Lepisosteus oculatus: one gene and its partner. The protein of the gene in region 1 purifies or fractionates together with the protein of each later gene. This does not show direct contact. Links are inferred from orthologs where the notes say so. Each region holds a gene or a part of one and is shown in the gene's direction. Other genes may lie near its edges.

Region 1 (10,238 bases):
ATGGCAGCGCTGTACTTTCCATGTGATGAAAACATTATCTGGAACTTATTGTGCCTTTATAAAGTTCTGATGCATAGGATTTGGTAAGACGTCATCTTGGGGTCTCAAACTGAGCCCTTTTGCCTGGTGCAACGCCAGGCTAAATAACAAGAGATCCTAAGAAGGACAGACCACCTGTAAGTTATAAAGACACAGGCAGCCTAAAGCTGCAGGGAGTTCAGGGTAATACTGTATAATTCACTCCTGCTGCTGATCCAATCTATCCATCTAGCCCTCTTCAATTTGTTTATCTTGGACTGGGTCTGAGCAGCAGTATGTCAAATAAGGAAGGCCAGGGATCTTCTTCCTCAGCAGCTGATTCCTGGTAGCAAGGTGATTAGTGACGGTGGCCCTGTGGCTAAGGATCTGCGCCTGTGGCTGGAAGGTTGCTGGTTCATATCCCACGCATACCCAGGGGTGCTGTATAAATGTCTGACCCTGCGCTCTGACCCCAAGCTTCTCTCTTTGTCTGTGTGTCTCATGGAGAGCAAGCTGGGGTATGCGAGAAGTCAAATTCCTAATACAAGAAATTGTATGAGGCAAATAAAGTGATCTCTCAATAGCGCTAGTGTCCTGGGTTTAATTCCTGCCTGGTAGTCCTCTGGGAGGCATGTTCTCCCTGTGCCTGTGTGGTTTTCTCCAGGTCTTCCTGTTCGCTTCCACCTCCCAGAGAGATTCTGATTAGGTTTGTTGGTGTCTCTACAGTATGTCAGGGGTTGTCAAGTCATGTCTGTGAGAGTCAGTGTCTCTGCAGGGGTTTCCATGTTTCCATGTTCCCCAACAAAACAAAACAACAAAACGGAAGCTTGTCTGGTTGTTGAGAGAGGGTATGGGGGTGGGTAGTAGACACCTGTGGTCACAACGTTATAGAAAAGATATTATGATATTGCTTCTCTGGAATCAGTTCAGAGAAGAGCAACCAGAACCCTTTTATACTTTAACAGAGAAAACTACAAGGAGGCCCTATACAAGTGTTCAAGGTCCTCAGTGGCACTGGCAGAATTAACCCAGTGGATTCTTCAGAATGAACAGTGAAATGCATTCTCCAGGTGTGCCTTCTTTTATCTCCCTCCAGTGCTCAGTATTAGCATTTGGATGCCTGAGGGTATAGGCCTCATCCCCGACATCGCCTGACCTCTCCCCGTTATCCCTGGATATGTACAGTATGTTCGTGTTTTCCCACTCACAAGGATTTGAACCTTGTGTCGTCTCAGGCTGGGTCTCCCGGTTTTGGACTCATGGATTGTGCCCTGACCCTCCTTCGGACCTGCTTGGATTTGGACGCCAGTCTTTGTTTCCCTGCTCACCATTTCACGAACTGTCACAGTTACTTTGTTGCACTATTAAACCACTGTGTGTTTTCCCCGAACTACAGTACGTCTCCCGCTTCCTTCAGCTCTTGCCGCTTCACAAGGAGTCTAAACACAACACCCGAGACGGACTACGGAGCCAATCTGTAACAAAGAGGTGTTTAGATCTGCTTCTCCGGTAATGTAACACCCAAAGGTACACATTTATGAAGTGAATCACCACACTTTCTCAGGCCATCTCATGATGAAAATGTTACTTAACATTAGTTTCACAGTATTCACAGCAACATAAATATTCCTAAATGGAAACTTCATCCCAACAATGCAGATTTTCCTGGAATGTTTAGATATTTAGTTGTATTTTGGGTTGTTGGGTCAAATATTGTGCATGCAATAATCCTAAATTCACCCAGGTGTGTTAATATTGAAAAGAAAAGATTATACTTGAACAACAGAGAAGCAAGTACATTTTTGTGAATTTAAATGATTCTGTTTAATTACCCATAATTTGTGTAAGGCAGGCAGAAGAAAACATATAAGTGAAGTTAAATGAACAGATGGAACTTTAAAAAATGTGTTAATCAGTGTGGTTTTGCAAAACATCCACATTGTCTACATTTAATCCACAGTACTATACTGTATTAAAGAGCTTCTAAATGAAAACATCAGATCAAAACTGGTTAATTCATTCACACATTTTTTATATTTTTTCAAAATGCTAAAATGTGTCATAGAAACAAAATAAAAATGGGTATTAGTACGTTTCAAATGAGGCAGTGTCAGAAATTCAGCAGATTTAAACAGTCTTGTAGCAGTATTTTATTCAATAAGGTCTGACTCTTAACTTTACTTCCAACCAGATACAATCTATTAACTGAGTCACAGCAAAGTTTTTTGCAATTTCCTTTTGCAAAACCATCTTAAATTAAATTAGGAAGATTTAAAAAAAAAAAGCAGTTTCTCATTTGCACCTTAACTGTTGCAAAGACTGTTGAGTGTTTCTGCTGCTTACACTGATCCACTAGCTTGGTGAGATGTGACAGGACAATTCATTTATGGTGCTCTACAGTATGTTAATCACAATGGCTGCCTGAATAAGTTGGTCTGCAAAATGTAAATGACCATTGTCTAAGAATTGATATACCAAATGACTCGAGACATGGAGGATTTAATTACATGCGGATCTTCTTCAAAAGTGTACTTCACAGACTGCACCAATTCTTTCTAGCTTCCCACTGAGTGATTGCATGGTTGGAGAGACAAGACCTACTGTATAATAACAGCTCCTCTGCTACAAAAAGCTTTCGACTAATTAACTCTAAACTTTATAGGTACAGTATAACACTAGTAACAGGATTTGTTTATGCAGGATGAACAAAGGAGAAAATAAAGTACAGTACCTGCATAAGTCAAGGTGGCTGCCAGACAATTGCTTCCGTTATTTAGTCCTGTATAAACAACATTACCTTGAAACTTAGACATTCAACACCAATTAAACAGTGACAAGGAAACAGCCAAAGACACAAACTGCTTCTGCACTCCAAGTGTTTGGTCCTTTCACTCTACAGTGTATGGTTTTAAACATTTGTGCCACCAGGATGAAATTTGGCAAAATAGGGAAATCGAGATGACTGTCTGGTTGCCAGTTCTTTTTCTGATTTATTTTTCTTTTCCTCCAAATTCCTGATTTCTTGGGAAGAGTAGGACATACAGTAACCTAGGTGCACAGAAGGAAAAGGCTCTATGGACAGCAACTCATAACCTCTAAGAAGGGGTAAACTACAGACCCGCACCAGGCTCGGGGTACCCTTCTTAGGAGGTCAGAAATATAACGGTGTGGTACTCCCTTCTGGGCCTTAAAAAACAAGAGTGATATCTTGGCATCTATATGAAATTCAACAGGAATGTCAAGACAGAGGGTTTGACAAAGTCAGACCCAGTCAGTACTCAGTCAGTTGCTGTGTTCTGAACCCACTGAATTTTGGCACTGACAGAACTTAATATAACTGAGCAACGTTACAAAGACAAAAGAAAGCCGTCCTGGTGATGCGTTGGATATTCTCTTCAGAAATTAAAGTAGGGTAAAAAAAATGTCACATATATGTCGTATTAACATATCAGTCACCATAAATTGCCATGCGTAGATCATAGTTGCTCAGTTTATCTCAGTTGATGCAGACCAATAGAAAACGGCCAAATGACAAATAATCATTAAGACACAATACAAAGTACCCAGTTGAAAATGATAAAGAAAGTTATCAAGGAGAGTAAAGTTATATGTATACATTATAGAAATAGAAATTTAAGAAGTCAATAGTGTTCAGTATTGTTATCAATGCTGGACAAAGAATATTGCTGCTCTAGAGATTAAAGAATAAACTTAGTCATTTCCTGTTTTAAAATGCATAACGCAGACAGATGGAAAATGAAATTAGTTTTCCCAACAGGGTAATTGTGCACCAGAAAACATCACTGTAAGATCCGGTTTGATTCCCTTGTAAGACATTTAACAAAACAGAATCAATTTCTACGAAAGAATAATATGTGCTACACAACTGTAATGTACTGCTGCCACACAGTGGCTGTTTTCTTCTGTATTTCATGTGCCAACAGATTTCTGTAATAAAGTCTGCGACTGTAAAACACTTGCAAAGATTAAACAAAACCTGTAGCTTGGATGAAAGGAGCAATGTACTCACACTAGTGAACCATTTGAGGAAAAGTGCCTTTTTTAAAATTAAGGTTCTAGGATAAGGATTTATATTGTAATATATAATTAGCTTATCGTATTTTGCACAGACTGAAAATGATACTGAACAGCTTAAACATTAAGATCATTACAATTAAATATCATTACAGTTCACATAACCCCGTGCAGAACATTGAACCTTTACAATAGAATGGAAAAAATGCCCACATACAGCCAACATTAAAGTACATAGCAAAGGATACGCCCCTGCGCATTACAGTGATGTTGGCCGCCCGGGCTAAAGAAAGTCTTCTTTAGCTCAGCCGGCAAGACCCGGGTTCCAGCCCATGTGAGGGCAGAAGCCCGAGAACCCGAATTCAATATTAAAAAAACGTTAATCTTAATACAGGTAAATAATATTAACAAAAACAAGAAAGGAAACTGGTCCCATGTTGGCTCCAATCGTCGTCTACACCCAACCTTGATGAGCACGAGTAATCGGAGCCAAAATGGCACAGGGAGGACTGCAGTTTCCACGTTGTAAACGGTGAACGCCACTGAATGACATCAACCACCTGTACGGGACTGATATAGATATTTAATACGAATACGGTATAAAAATGTTCACTCATTTCTTCATTTCACTGGAACCTAAACTGAAATACAGGTGATGTTAATGTCAGGCTGAGAAATATGCGCAGACGAGGTAGAAATTAGGGTAACAAAGGTTTCCCTTAACAGCCAGGGGTGCGGATCCTTCAGAGAAATGAGGACTTTTCCCCCTTAACCACAACCGTAGAGCAAACTGAGGTATTTGAAGCGGCATGTCTTTTTGCCTTAACTGAAACAGAGAAGTGCTTCGAACAAAAATGTGTTTGTCCTTATTGTGCCGCATTACAACAATTATGTATGTATCGTACTCCGCAGCTATATTATATATTTTTAACTAAATTACAGAGAATTCCTTTAAAGCTGCCCCCCAATCATATTATGCAAATAAACATGCCATTTATTGTTTAAAACCATACGACATTAACAAAGTAGCATAATAGAAGCACTATATATAACTGATCGGTTTCTCTCTTTTCTGTTTTCAAAGCGCTACGCAGGCGGGACAATCAACTCAAAACAACCAATCAGCAGTGACTCTTCCTACGCCAACCTGACGTCAAATATTTTCCTTTTAGCTGGCAAAATAATGCCTGAATGAAACAATGGTTGAATTTCAATTTTTAAAAAAAAATTTTTTTAGGAAGACACAGTATAATGAAAAAAATATATATCTCTAACTTAATACATTAAAGGAATCAAACCTGTAATACTACACCGCTTTTCAAATTATTTCAGGCGCATCGAACACCAAAGAGGACCAGCGCTGCCTGCCGCCAAAATTCAAGTTCGCTGAACACAGGAAGAGTAAGGGAACAGTGGCGTTTTGTTATTGTGTGAGGTATGTATTCACGTTTTGGGTAAAAATAAACGCAGTTTTGAAAGCGAATGTATAACAGCAACCGTTTATGCCTTTTTTCACCTCATCCCAGGTAATCGAGAGCTGAAACAAGGCTTCGGGAGGTGACACTAGAATACAACTTTCCTGTAGCTGCGGATGAAGTTCATCGGGGAGTTGAATTTGTAAAACGTTGAAACGAAGATGTACATCAAATCTATCATCTTAGAAGGCTTCAAATCCTACGCCCAGAGAACGGAGATCAATGGCTTTGACCCGTTGTTCAACGCTATCACCGGTCTGAACGGCAGTGGCAAGTCCAATATCCTGGACTCCATCTGTTTCCTGCTCGGGATTTCCAACCTGACTCAGGTAGCGCCGGGTGCCCGTACGCTTTGCACTAGCTTGTGAGCAGTGCTAGTTTTTACTGTGCGGTTCACTTTTTTTTTTCGGTGTGTTCCCCCCCACCCCGATGCAGTATGAATTCGTGTTTTATGCTAGTCCCTAGGCATGCGGGGGGAAACCGGGAGTACGTTATATATTATAAATGTCACCGAAAGATCATCCCTGGAAATCTCGTTTAGGTGCGAGCGTCCAATCTTCAGGATCTGGTCTACAAAAACGGTCAAGCTGGGATCACTAAGGCCTCTGTTTCCATTACGTTTGACAACTCTGACAAGAAGCAAAGTCCCCTTGGGTTTGAGACCCACGACGAAATCACTGTTACGCGTCAGGTATTTGTTTTTATCATTAGCCCGGACTGCAGTTCTGGTATGTTTCATTTTTTTTTCAGAATGCATTGCATTCGTTTAATAAATGAGATTTGTATTGAGTGCTTTTTCCCCCCCGTCTATTTTAAAGGTGGTCATTGGTGGGAGAAACAAATACCTCATAAATGGGGTAAATGCCAACAACAACCGGGTACAAGACTTGTTCTGCTCCGTTGGGCTCAATGTCAACAATCCTCATTTTCTGATTATGCAGGTGAGCATAATTGATAGCTATACCTGTACGTCCCTGTTATGAATCGTTTTGAATTTTATCTCAAGACCTGCTTTGAAGGATGAATTTTTAACGCGCAATTTCTTAACATGTGCGCGGAATTGCTTGTAAACGCATAGTTTGTGTTAAGGTATGTTTGTGTCGAGTAACTTGGGACCACTTTTGATTTTTTCAGGGCAGAATTACGAAAGTTTTGAACATGAAACCCCAGGAGGTAAGTCAGCTCTGCTGCTTTCTTATGCATCTCTTCCCTTCAGGGAATCAGAATGAGCTCCACCATCTTTTTTTTCCTCTGAGCAGAAATCTGCACGTTAAAATATTTCACAGGAGAGACCCATGAGAAAACAACCCACAAATATTTGTTATTGTACCTTAACATTTCTGGACAGAAGACAGTGTTGTTTATGAAAGTGTAACTAAATAAACATTTCAGTTAATCTAATGTACTGTAACCGGATAGCAGCATTTTATACTGATTTAGGTAGAGTTTTGCATTAATTGTTCTGTAGGTCTGTAGGAACTGAACTGATGTCAATGAGGAATTAAAGTATTTTTATGTTTGAAAACGCCATAAAAAATGGAAAAAAGGAAATAGCATTCTTGAACCCAGTTTATAACTTTTCAGAAAGTAACAAATCCCCAAGTGTGTATTTTATAAATGAATAGGAGACTGGAGGCGATAGTGTGTTATTGGTGTTCTATTTAGCTTGTCACATGATGCCCTCAAACTTGCCTTGGATTTTTTTCGTTTTTAAAACCCCTAAAATGACTAAATAAAAAATTAAGCGAGCCCCTTTTTGCTAATATCTTATCTGCTGAGACTTTTCCCTCCTGAGATAGTTATTCAACACATACAGTACAATATTGACAGGAAGTTGTAGTTTAATGATATCAAAAGTATATACCCAGAGGGCACAAAACTGGTTTTGCTAAACTAAACTGGGGATGAAGTAAAGACGATTGCCAATAAGATTATAAATAGAGATTGTGGCTATAAATGAACATTGAAAACATGGAATATGGTGTGATGTAGTACTGTAGTACCCCTAGTCTTTGGGATTGATGAGTATTCTTTATTTAGATCCTGGCAATGATTGAAGAAGCAGCAGGCACCAGGATGTATGAGATCAAAAAGATGGGTGCGCAGAAAACTATTGAAAAGAAGGAGGGCAAGCTAAAAGAGATCCAGACGGTACGGTATCATTGTCAGTGTGCAGAGCTTCATTTCATTCTGGCTGAATGGTAACAGTAATAACCACATATTTGTGTTTTTCGACAGGTGTTAAGAGAAGAGATCACACCAACTCTAGAGAAGCTGAAGGAGGTAAGTCCTACCAGGTTATGGGGTGGTCCAGAATTGTGTTTTTCCCATTGGTAGGTTGTAATCTGTAGCACTCCTGGTGGTTTGTTTATTTTTCTAGGTATTTCTTAAAACGCGGATCTTTTAAAAATGACAACAGTGAAAGAAGTTTGGAATCATTGATGAATCATTATGCCCATTTGTATATGTTTTCACAACAGGAAAAAAAGTGGCTGTTTTGAAAAAGACAAGTTAAGAGGTACATGGCCTGAGACCCACTTCTAAGCCTTTGTTTCGTAGGAACGATCATCGTACTTTGAGTATCAGAAGGTGTTGAAGGAAATGGAGCATCTTACTCGCCTGTATGTGGCCTATCAATTTGTGTGCGCCGAGGAAACCAAAGCCAAGTCGGCTGCAGAGCTGAAGGTGCTGGAGGATGGCACAGTCAAGCTGCGGGAGAAGATGGCAGACAATGAGAAGAAAGTGAAGGAGCTCTCTCAGGAAATTGCTCGGCTGGAGGACAAGAGAGACCAGGTGCTGTAGCTCACTCTTCGCTTTTTGATTGTTCGTTTTGGAGTATAAAGAGAGACTCATGGCTTTTAGGAGAGCAAAATCCTTATGGAAACTCGGGTTGTGTGGGCCAATGTTTTCTTTTATAAGTCCTTCCTGATAGGAAAATATTTTATGCGGTGCTTTGCAGGAAATAAGTTAAAAATTGCTCAGAACTGAAATATTGTATATACAGTAGGAGCTGAAGTGTGGGCAGCACTGTGGTTAGCTTCGGTGCCTCGCAGTGCTGAGGCCCTGGACTCAATTCCAGACCTGGGGTGCTATCTGCTTGGAGGTTGTTCTCCCTGCATTTATGTGGGTTTCTTCCAGATGCTCCGGTTTCCTCCCACTGTCCAAAGACATACTGGTAGGTTAACTGGTTTCTGTGGAAATTGGCCCTGGCGTGAGTCTGTTTCTGTGTTTGTCTGTGCCCCACAATGGACTGAGCTCCCATCCACATCCTGCCTTGCGCCGGTGGCTTGCCGGTATAGACCGTGGCGACCTCGCATTGGATAAAGCTGTTAGAAAATGGATGAATGGACGTTATATCGTTTCGCACAAATATGAGTCTCATTGGATACATGTGCACTTTGACGTCTCGGTCAGCTTCTGAAAGCGTTCCTTTCCTGTGAATGGTGCTGCGTCTAGGACGTGGGTGGCGTGCTGAAGTCCCTGCAGGACGCCCTGTCTGAGGTTCAGAGAGTGGATGCCAAAACCCAGAGTGCTTTGGATCTGAAGAAACAGAACCTTAAGGGGGAGGAGAAGAGACGCAAAGAACTGGTGAAAAGCATGGAAGAGGTAAAGCACAAAAAACAGGACACGCGGTCAAGCGTGGAAATCTGATTCCTTTGAGCCGAAAGATGTTCTTTTGAAACTGTCGTGTGCAGTCTGTAAACCGGCACTGCATGGTATGAGTCTACTTTTCAAGGATACATTTTTTTGTCAATATTAAGTCTCAACCTGAACCACTCGTTTATTAAAAAACCCATGTACCTTACTCAAGAAAACTTAAGTGGGAATGTCACTGGGTACTATAAGCTTTTGTAAAAAAAGGCCCCAGGACTTTGCTTTTGTAGCCTGTAATTCAGAAAAAAATGAGTTTGGCACACTAAATGAAAATCACAGTTCCGTATTTTTGGGTTGAATTGGAATACATTTATGATTTTTGCTTTTAAAATAAAGCATTTTCCTCTCGATTAGTAACTATCAACTTTTGATTTGAGGTTCGTGGTTCAAAATGAATAGTTCTATTTGTAGAGTGTTCCCAACTTAATCGGCTGTAGGTACAAACACCCTCTCAGTCATGTGGTATTTTCTATCAATGTCTGAATTAATTTCAAAGTCTACTTTAAAGAATGACATGATCACTCAACCATGTAGATGATTGCCAGTATTCCTCAGTGATATCTGTCTCTTCTGCAGTATGTGGAGACCTTTTACATTTGAAATAGTTTACCATCAAGATTTTCTGCGGTTTTCAGAAATTGATAACGCACTCATTAGGCCAGTTATAATATCAGTGGTCTGTTTTTCGACTAGTCCTCAATCGAAACTCAAATTACGTTTCACTTTGACCACAGGGAAGAAAATCTCCCTGTGAGTTAGAATCCAGAGGTCTCGAACCAAGTCCGTTGTTACTTTCTGTCCCTTAAGCACATAAAAAAAATAATAAATTGGCAGGACCTAACTGTTCCCAGCTTTCCTCACCCTCAGGATCAAAAGGTCTTGGCGGCAAAGGAGAGCGAGGCGAAGAAGATCACCGAGAAGCTCCGTGCCATCCAGGAGGAGGGCCGGAAGGACGCGGAGGCCCTCGCCGCCGCCCAGCAGCACTTCAACGCCGTGTCCGCCGGCCTGTCCGGCAGCGAGGACGGGGCGGCGGCCACGCTGGCGGGGCAGATGATG
Region 2 (10,238 bases), on another chromosome or scaffold:
CAAGCGACTTGCAGCTGTAATCGCAGCAAAAGGTGGCTCTACAAAGTATTAACGCAAGGGGGCCGAATAATTTTGCACGCCCCACTTTTCATTTTTTTATTAGTTAAAAAAGTTTCAAAAATCCAATAGATTTCGTTCCACTTCACAATTGTGTCCCACTTGTTGGTGATTCTTCACATAAAATAAAAAAATTATATCTTTATGTTTGAAGCCTGAAATGTGGCAAAAGGTTGAAAAGTTCAAGAGGGCCGAATACTTTCGCAAGGCACTGTAGAAATGCCCAAAATGACCATTAGGAAACTTCTGCACATCTTAATAGCTTATTTCATTAAAGAGAAAGAACTAATCTCTTTTATACAGTATAGTGTGTATTTAAGGATTACAAAGTGCTTTCAGACAAATCGTCTGTTGAATATAATTATCTTGTTCCTAAACATTCTAATTGACTATATTTACATGGAACATGTCAAGACTCTATTGAAAATTGTTGAAGATACTGTACACAGGCAATATGCTTTGAAAAATAATTGTGCTAAGCTTTGATAAAAGTGAATATTGAGCATCCGGAGATTAGAGATAAACATACAATGAAGTTTATTTTGGCTGTCAATCAGCTTTCCAGAGGACTGGGAACAGCCTGAAACATGAGGGAATGAAAAACATGTAACACAAATTTGTTTTTAGTCCAATAATTAAGGTAAAATCACGTTTACTGCAGTATTCCAGATCAAAGCCCAGCTCTCCCACTGACTCACCGTGCTTGTACCTCAGCCAGTTATGTAACCTGTGCTCTGCCCTTCAGATGAGACCTCAAACTTAAATAAAACTGCAGTGATATTCACTTCAATTAAATCACTTTGTATAAATTCATCTGTTAAATTTCAGAATTTACACCAATGGAGCTGAACTGTTTTTTTTTTTCTGGTGTTCTACTGAAATTGTTCCTGGTAATTGTACAGGCTAAATATAGTACTGTATATCCAGTTAAAAAATACTTGCAGCATACCTGGTTTATTTTCAGCACTCTCAAAATGTCAGAACCCATGTCATGAAGATATACAGTTATGACAGTTACTGCAAAAAATTCTCCATTGGACAAGTGGAAATGAAGCTATGATTCTAAAATGAATGGACAAATGATGAAGATGAACAAGAAAAAAAAAGGAAAAAACAACTGGTATACAAAGAAAGGAGCTTTATAAAATGATTATGACCATGATAAAGCAGGAACCAAAGGAAGCTCCAGGCAAATACACATCTGCATATGGTAACTTGGCCTTTTTCACATCCTGCATGGCTAACTATTATAATTTGTTTAGCAGATCACCAAACATCCTATGTTGTCGCTAACTGTTGCTGAAAAGCTGCAAACACCTATGTCTTCTCTCAAATTCATTACTGTAACGCCCTGCTCGCCGGGATATATAAATTCATACTGGACAAACTATAGTATGCCCTGCATTCAGCAGTTAAAATCCTTACCAGGTCTGGTGCAAGTGATCACATTACTCCTGTCCTGGAGTCCTTGCACTGGCTTCTTATCAGGTTTCGTGTCATCTTCAAAATCCTCATGCTCACCTATATGGCTCTGCATGGTCACCTCTCTGTCTTCAATCTTCAAAACCTCATTCTTTAGAAGGGCTTTTATTTAACTGGTTCTATTTCTGTACCATGGCTTTTCTAATGTTTGCCAAACCCTCATTGTAATTGTGTAATTCTGCTGTTTCATTTCATTATGTGCTTTTTTCTTACTGAAAAGCACTTTGAGAAGCCACTTTTAAAGAATACAGAGTGCCATTAAGGTGATGGTGAGTGCTCCATCTGCATAGTGTACAGTATATAGTGCAACACAGTGTAAGAATTACTGAAAGATGTAGTTGAGAGCTGAGAGGTCAGCTGCGTCTAGCTCTAAAGCTTAGTCTTTTGCAAAAACCCAAAAAGTGTTCAATGACTGAGCAGTTCCCATTTCTCTGTGTAACTCCTTCCACCACTGAGGAGGGAGGTAGGAGAAAAACAGTGGGAAACAACAAGGGGTTACAGAAGATGTTAGAGACACAGTATGTGGGGGAGCATAATGGTTAGGTTTTGGATCCGTGCAGCAATAGGTGGCCAATGGAGAGACTAGAAAAATGGAGCCATACAAAAAGCTGGTATTTACAGTAGGCATGAAAACAGGGCAATCACATTATTCAGGTGAGGTGCTTTAGTGTCTTTCAGGACTTTGTAATTCAAGATACCAGGAAATGGATCACAGATGATTCTGCTAAAGTGTGCACTAGGGAGATTCTGTATGATTTTTGATGTATGATGTTTCACAGATTCATTCAGTTGGGCTCCTAAAATAACGGAAGTGACACGGCTGTTTCAAGAATATTATGGCAATAGCAAAAGAACTAATCCAGGGATTAACAGATGTGTCTGAGAATAGGTGGAAAAGCCCTAGGATGGAAAATGGGTCAAAACAGATCTAGATTTTTTTTTAGTCCCAAAAATCCGTTGCGAAAATAAGTGCTTCATTCTGCTTTACTTTTAGTCCTGAAAGTCAATACAAAACTATATTCTTTTAAGTCAAAGATTTTAGAGAAACTCTTCTCCACGCAAATCGTGTAACATTAAGTTACTTTTTTATGGAACTGTTATGGAATTGTGGCATTCTTTTAGTAAAGAGGGACTAAAATATCTGAATTCTGAAAATGGGAAGCAAGATAAAAAATATATCCATTATACTGCATATGAATTGAAGATACAGTATTTTAAAGACAGAAAACATCTCAAAGCCTGTAAAATCAGTGTAAATCACTAAGGTCACAAAGAAAAATTTCCCCACAAATAATTTGAAAGCTGAGACATTGCTTTTTTCCCAAACATTTCTAAAGTACATTAAGTGTACTAAAATAATGACTTAATAGGAAAAGCTCTAGCTGCTGTGTTGAGTCAGACTAATACACAATTTTCAAAGGCATGTCTGTGTGATTACACTGACATCTAGTGGATAAAATTGTCAACCCGTTTTACCTTCTGGACAGATTGTCCTACTTCATTTTCCTTTGAAGTTAGTTCTGCAAAATTACCCTAGTTCAGGTGCAAGCACTGCTGGGCATTTGCAGGAATCCTTAAAACACTTAAGTATATCGTACAAGATTCTGATATATTTATTTGTTTTGGCTGTCTATCTCCATATGTACACATTTGTCTGTGTATTGCGAGAATGTTTAATAGTAAGAAATCTCTCGGGATACACTATAAATACATTTGTGACTCTGATCTGTGATACAGAGGCATTATGGAAATTATCAACCTTTTTTTTAAATGTTAATAAAAACATGTACTGATTTATTGTAATGACATACAGTGCATAACTTCTCTTCTGTACATGTACTGTATCATACTTTCACTATCACACTTCATTGACGTATCTGCGTATTAATAGTTCACATGACTTTAGGCAGATTCATAAAGTATGCTGGATGCCCAGAATAAAATGAAATGAGATTGGATTAGATGGTCATCAGCCCATGGGCAGAAACGTGCAGATTCCACACAGAAGGTGTTCAAGCTGGACCCAAGAGCTCTGAGGCAGCAATGCACTACTCATCCCCATTTCACTTCCACCTGAACACAAGGAAGAAATTAATTTGATCATTACCCATTACTCTGCAGTTGTACTCTGCCTTGCACCCATAGGCTCTGGCTCCCCTATGACCCAGAATTGGAAGACTCAGTAAGAAAATGGATGGATGGATATTACCAATCTCTTTTAGAGGTGTACATGGCCAAGGAGTCCGATTGAGGATGGATTTCGTTGGGCCTCTAAGTTTTGGTAGCCTAACTCTACCTAATTTAAGCACAAATATTGTGCTTTTCAGATGTAGGTGTTTAGGGCATGGTCTCTGTTGTGGTGCAGCCATTTCAGCTGACTGCATTGCTGTGCTGCTGACTTTTTTTTACTCGAAATAATCCCCCAGATGTTTAATGGAGGTTGATTTGCATGCCACACCGAAGAGACTCGTTTGCCTATTCACTCCGCAGAGACAGTTCATGCCAGCGGTGTAGCAGATAGCCTTATCTGCTAGTTAGCATGGACACATTTATCTCTGCAAAAGGCATTACAACATGGGAACAGAAAAAGAAATGCTTTCCTTTTTTTTGTCCCAATGGACGCCACAGGGTGTCCATGAACATGAACAAGTTGTTTGTGGATGACATGACCTTATATCACAGTGACTCCTTCCATGTGACATCCACCTACTGTATAGCCACAGAAGTACTGTCTCCCTTGTTGAACAATAGTGCTAATTAAACTGTATGTCTTTTATCAGTCTTTTGGGGTTATTTTGAACACTAAGTCCTTCTAACAAAAGCAGATTTATGGAGGATAAACTGAATTCAGCGAGGAGCTGTCGATATTAACTTCATGCGCCATGGCATGATGTAGAGTCACCTGTGAAATATATAGAAGCTGCACCATGAAATTGTTCATGTACTCCATGGAGATGCAACATTTTAAATCATGCAAATGAGACACCAACCAAACTATTTATGCATTGCACTCCGAAGTACGATTTTACCAGAAATCACATTCGCTTCCAAATGCTCTTGTTAATACATTGTAATGTGAATGTCTGCATAGTTTTATAACATTAGTGCCATATTCGGAGCAAATGTAGGGTTTATAATTGCCTTTGAATTTCTGGATTCACTAGAAATTCAAAATTGTGCTCCAAACCTATCAAAAATATGTTTTAATGTATTTTTTTAACGAGGTTAAAATTTAAATTAACTAATGACTGTATTGTATTAAATATAATGTATCTTTGTTGTCGGGAAAATGACAAAATATTAAAATTTTGACCCTATACGTTGCATACATGTGAGAGCAAAAACTGTATTTGCCTCCAAAAGCTCCCGAGCACCAGCTTGCAGCGAGTGGAAAAGTAAAAGTGGGTATTCCTCACTTCACAGTCCTACCAACAGAGCTGAAGTCCTACTCCGACACAAGAGGACCCCTATCTCTCCAACTCCAGGATGCGCTTGCGTGTGGACGTGCGCGCTCTCGAGAACGCACGCGAGGGCGCGCACGGCCGAGGTACCCGCGGAAGTTGAAGAAGTCAATTCAATTTTGCGCGGCAATTGTAAACTGTTTAGGGTAGTGGGACGAGAAAAGCAAAAGTATCTGGAAAGAATTGTTGCTGGTAAGTAGCTCCTTTCTTTTAATTTTGTGAGCCGTTTGACGATTAAATAAATGATTTGTGCTGTTCCGCTCATTGTTATTTTTTTATATTTATTTTTTTAAGTGTGATTTGTTATCCAAAGGATCATACAACGTTACGCTGATTTCTCCACCATAATATGATTTCCACATCACGTTCATGACTGAACATGTTTTGCTATGATAATGGGTTTGTATTATTTTAGTTAATCGAGTGCTGTGAACTATGTAAAATGCTGTTATCTAGATAAAGTGGTGGGTTTGTCCAGAAGGACAAACAGCACTAGAAACGGAAGGTTTCTATTTACTTCTGTTTCCGAACTTATGTACAGCGCTACTGCAAATATCAGTCCTCATTAGCTGCTTTGCAGTATAGCAGTGCTTGTTCAAAAATGTTTTGACAACAGATATATCAAACCTCAGCTTACACTGGATGAAGTCCCAAAATACAGAGAGAACAAGCAATTTTTTAAACTGTAAACATGATAATCACCCTTTGCACGTAAATCAGCAGCGTATTTCTGTGAAATATAGTCACTCTTGAAAGCACCTGAGATTGTAGTACATTGTCGACTGTCATACGGTGTCACTGAAATAGAAATAGACCTCTCTAAATTGAGGGGAATTAGGACACCTAAGAAATGTGCTGCCACCTAAAAACTGACGTTACATTTAAAACAGAACTGGCCTTGTGGGATGCTTTAATGCATTTTTTCAATTGTAGTACTAGTGACATAACTGTAGTTATTCCGATCAAAGCTGCATTTTCCAGTGGATGCCATATATTGAATGAAGTGCAAATGTAATCAAAGTCATATAATAATTAATAAGCCCTATTATGCTTAATAGGATAATTATTCTTAATAACATGGTATTATTTAAACAAACTTACAGTATATTGTAACCTGGGTGTTGTTGAACCATTAAGATGGACAGACTTCTACTGTATCATAATGCCCTGGTTTGTTATGGTTAGCATTAGCTTGCTGCTTGAATTGCATCTCTAATAACATGTTGTTCTCATTATTCAGAATGCATTAAAACGGGATTTAATGCTAATTTAACCATACTTTAACATTTAATGCAGATGAATATTGGTGGTGATAAAGTTTATATTATGTCCAAAATAGCTTAGATGTGTACATTTACATTTTGCAATCATTTTTACGGATTTAATAGTCGATTTGCAGAGTTCTATGTTGGAAAATTAAAATAGGTATATTATAAATGTCATTTTTCATGTTTTTCTCAGCTTGGATTTATTGGACCATGTATTTTGTTTCTATTGTGACACAACTTGTGTTTATTTTTCACTGTTTTGCAGCAAAGCACTTGGGGTGCTGGCATCTAAATATGACAAAACGAGAGGAATTTTTAAATTCAGTCAGCAAAGAGAATGTGGAGGAGTTCTTGAAATTCCTAAAACTCCATGTAAGTATTTCAGGCTTTTAATTCAATGAGAGACGCTGGAATTATGTAGATTTGGAAACTGAAATTCCTTTTGTAGCCACACAGCAGGTTGTCTACAGTCTGATTGAGGGTGAAATAGTGGATTGTTGTTTGTCAGACCAGTGGTTTTTGCTCTTGATCTTGTGGAAACAGCATGCCTCCTGGGTTCATCTCCAGCTAAGTTCTTAATTGCAGGCTAGTTGATATTTTTTTTTCTTTAATTTAACCATCTAGATTTAGGATGAATCGTGGGAGTCTCTGATACTGTACGTTGTCATTCCTGCCTGTGCTGTTCATTAGAGAAGGTTTGCCTATTAAGAGCTTTTTAGAGGAAAGATAGCAAATTCTTCATTAGCAGTTTGAGGAGAGTGCATAAAGGTCAGTATGCTGATGTCGATGGAATAATGTGCTATATACTTTAGCTACTTTTTGAAACCAAGGGTTGAGTGCAGAAAAAAGTCTAAACAGGCAAGAAGATCAATTACAACCACTAGTTAATATTTGTGGTTAAGGGCTTAGTTGGGATGTAAACAATAAGAGGCAGGAGTCTCTCAAGAGCAGGACTAAGAATCACTGATCTAGACAGAACAAACTTTTGCATGTCACGGGTCCAAATTTCTAATTACCTGGATGAAATGCACTCCAGAGCATTGTCCAATCCTGGGTTTCTCATCCCTGGTCCAGGGCTAACTCTGTATCTATTAATGTTATTTCATTAGAGTTCCTTCTTATTTAGGTCAACTCGTAAGGTAAATTTGCTGATGTTTTGATTTTTCCACTTCTTAAATTTAACTTTTGCACTGTACTGTATGTGAACGTTTTCAACTCTTGTAAATTTGATCTTCTTTGAAAAACAAGAAGGACAATTTAAGGAATTTATTGGTATACTTTTCAATCAAGTCAGAGCTGAGTCTGATTGGGGAAAATAGCCTTTCATAAATCCCACAATATATCATATACAGCTATTTAAGAACCAGAGTTGATAGTTCTTGAATTAATAGACTATTTAGTTTTCCCCCAAACTGGAAATATGAATGCTTTGTACATGTAAAGTGTATTACTCAATACGTGCTGTCCTGTTTAATGTAAACTACAGAAAAAAATAAAAGTAACATATAACAATCCACAATATCTTTGCTATGCTCTGTTTCTTGAAGATGTGAAACTAGAATATTCCTCCCTGGCTCCTCCTAAAAGCCTAATCCTTCTTTCCAGTGTCACTGTATACAGGTACTGTAGCTTCCCTGACAATTGGGTAAGCACAGTCCATGTAATGAAATCTACAGTATGAAGCTGCATAGCACTGTGGGCAGCCTATTCAGCAGAGCAGCCAACATGTCTGGCTGCAAAATATATTAACATATATTAAGCAATTTATGTGATAGAATATGGCAACCTGGAAAAAAGGAAGGAAAGCAAAGCACTTTTATCCCAGTGCTCACTGTTAACCATTCCGTACGTCTGATGTCTGCTTGCCTGCCGTGTTCATCTTTGTAACATCAAAATCGACCTATATGGCTGAATATTCCTAATAAATTCTTCAACCTCTTAATGAACCGACATAATACCTACTGCTAATGACGTTTAAATTGAATGAAAATGTAAGTGGGCAAAAGTATTTTCTGTTGTTCTTTGCCATTACTTCTTTGACTTTTACATGAATACAAAAGTTGAAAGGGACTGTAAAACTGGAGAAGATCTTCATAAGATTTTTTTGGTATGTGATTTACTCCCCTTGATTTACTTGATTGGAAAGTGTAATGATCTGCATGATCTTAGCCACCTGGTTCTCTGGGTTAAATGTTTTCAAGGTCTCCATAATAACTCTACATTTGTTACTTTCTATTCTTTTTGTTGAAAAGCCAGGCTCTTCCAGGTCAAACATTTCCGGTTTCTTTCTTGTACCCTGGGCAGTTTTTGTAAAACAATATGGAGAGGAGTAGCTTAATTATCAAATGCAATTCTCTAAAATCTCTTGAGATTTAAGGTTTGGTCTTAGGGGCTGTATATTGAAAACAGCCGTCTAATATTTCTTCTTGTATCCTGGTTTCCCTTTGTGATACTACAGTATATGAGTTTATTGGGATGCACCCTTAAACCCGTATTTTACTCGTTTCTTCTTACAGAAGGACAGTTCGGACCCCTTCGATCTGCCGGAGCTCATCCAGGAGCTCCCTACAAAGCAGAAGGAGCTGCTGTGGGGGAAGCTGCAAGCGCTCTTAACCGAGTCACTGTTGGACTTCCCCGTGGAGCAGTGGAACCAGGGACTGGACGATGACAGTGGGGATGAGATGGAAGTGGAACTTCCGCCGGCCTTAGTAAGTATAGAAGAAGATAATGAGGGTTTTGCTTTCCCCCTCCTGCATTTATTGGGGTTGATTTCACAGTATACCCTCCCTTTAAAATGCAGTTGCCACTCTCTCTGTCTTCACTAGATCCCAGTGTTGCCCTCTGAATATATAGATGCTTGCACAGACATTTCTGTTCTGTTGGAAAGTGTATAGTCAGATGCATTAATCAACTAATGTCAAAAATAAATGCCTAACCAAACATACATAATGAACGTCATGACTAAAATGCAAGTTGGACGTGATCATGGATGAGTAATTAGTGCCGCTCTGCCGGAATAATTGATAAAGCAAGGTGGTCGTGATGTTAAGTGCAAAACAGCTTGTCTTATTTCATAATTAACAGTTTTGTTTTGTGTTTTTTTTTTAACCGGGGAAACAAAATTTAGCTAGGGTGTGTTTAAAGGGGTGTCACATGATGAGAAATGAACACCAAAATGACAAAACGTGAGGTGTTCTCAATAGTCCACCTCTTTGACCCAATCAGCATTTCATTATCTTCATGGTTTTTACAGGACGTGGTGTATACAGCTATGGTGTATACATGTATACAAGTCTATACATATGTGGGTGTTACTGTATATTGCCAGTGTACAGAAAGATTACATGGTATTAAAAATGCTTTAACATAGACAGAAGGTGTGCCTAAGATTTGTGCTGATGTGAAAATAAGGCGCCTCGTTCAAAAATGAAAGAGGCATTTTTGTATCATAGAAAACAGTTTGTATTGCAGGCCCCTCAAGAAAAGGTGTAGTCAAGTGAGAACATCAAAATCATAAATGATCCGTAACACTTCCAGCATCACCTGTCAGATCACCCCATTAAAAAAACTGCTGCTTCTTTTTTGTCCATCCTTTTCTTAAAGAATTTGAAATGTCTGCTTGCTTCAGTTTTTCCCCTTCTTTACTTAGAAACAGACCATGGCCATAATCGAGGCTGTGACAGCTGTTGCTACTGCCTCAATAACTGTAATGCAAGATGATGATGCTTATGATGCTCTGCTTGGGTGTGCCCATATGTTAAATGGTAAGTGAGTCTGGATTATTCACTGTAAACGTAGTTTAGAATAAACCCTTAACATCTTAAAATTTAGGGAACTACAGTCTTTTGTCCTGATGTAGCAGGAAACAGTATATTTCATATCCCTAGATTAGCCTGTGAAAGATTTTCTCAAATTAAGGTAATAGTCCAAAATGTCCAACTCTTGGTTGTTGGCGTTAGTATCATCAATG

What was found. Proteins that work in one complex are often made in the same cells at the same time.
Region 2: the proteins of smc2 (region 1) and ncapg2 purify together in Homo sapiens (affinity purification with western blotting; 4 studies listed by BioGRID and IntAct, with this or other methods). This does not show direct contact. The link is inferred for Lepisosteus oculatus from reciprocal best matches to the Homo sapiens genes SMC2 and NCAPG2.

Annotation. Positions count from the first base shown.
Region 1 is NC_090696.1:71,820,389-71,830,626, reverse strand, and holds the start of smc2 (structural maintenance of chromosomes protein 2), read left to right. Parts: upstream 1-5,348; 5' UTR 5,349-5,488; intron 5,489-5,579; 5' UTR 5,580-5,689; coding exon 5,690-5,857; intron 5,858-6,069; coding exon 6,070-6,219; intron 6,220-6,346; coding exon 6,347-6,469; intron 6,470-6,662; coding exon 6,663-6,701; intron 6,702-7,568; coding exon 7,569-7,679; intron 7,680-7,766; coding exon 7,767-7,811; intron 7,812-8,087; coding exon 8,088-8,321; intron 8,322-8,984; coding exon 8,985-9,134; intron 9,135-10,049; coding exon 10,050-10,238. UniProt on the Homo sapiens protein: Central component of the condensin complex, a complex required for conversion of interphase chromatin into mitotic-like condense chromosomes.
Region 2 is NC_090701.1:12,798,403-12,808,640, reverse strand, and holds the start of ncapg2 (condensin-2 complex subunit G2), read left to right. Parts: upstream 1-5,087; 5' UTR 5,088-5,192; intron 5,193-6,533; 5' UTR 6,534-6,562; coding exon 6,563-6,640; intron 6,641-8,784; coding exon 8,785-8,976; intron 8,977-9,917; coding exon 9,918-10,032; intron 10,033-10,238. UniProt on the Homo sapiens protein: Regulatory subunit of the condensin-2 complex, a complex which establishes mitotic chromosome architecture and is involved in physical rigidity of the chromatid axis.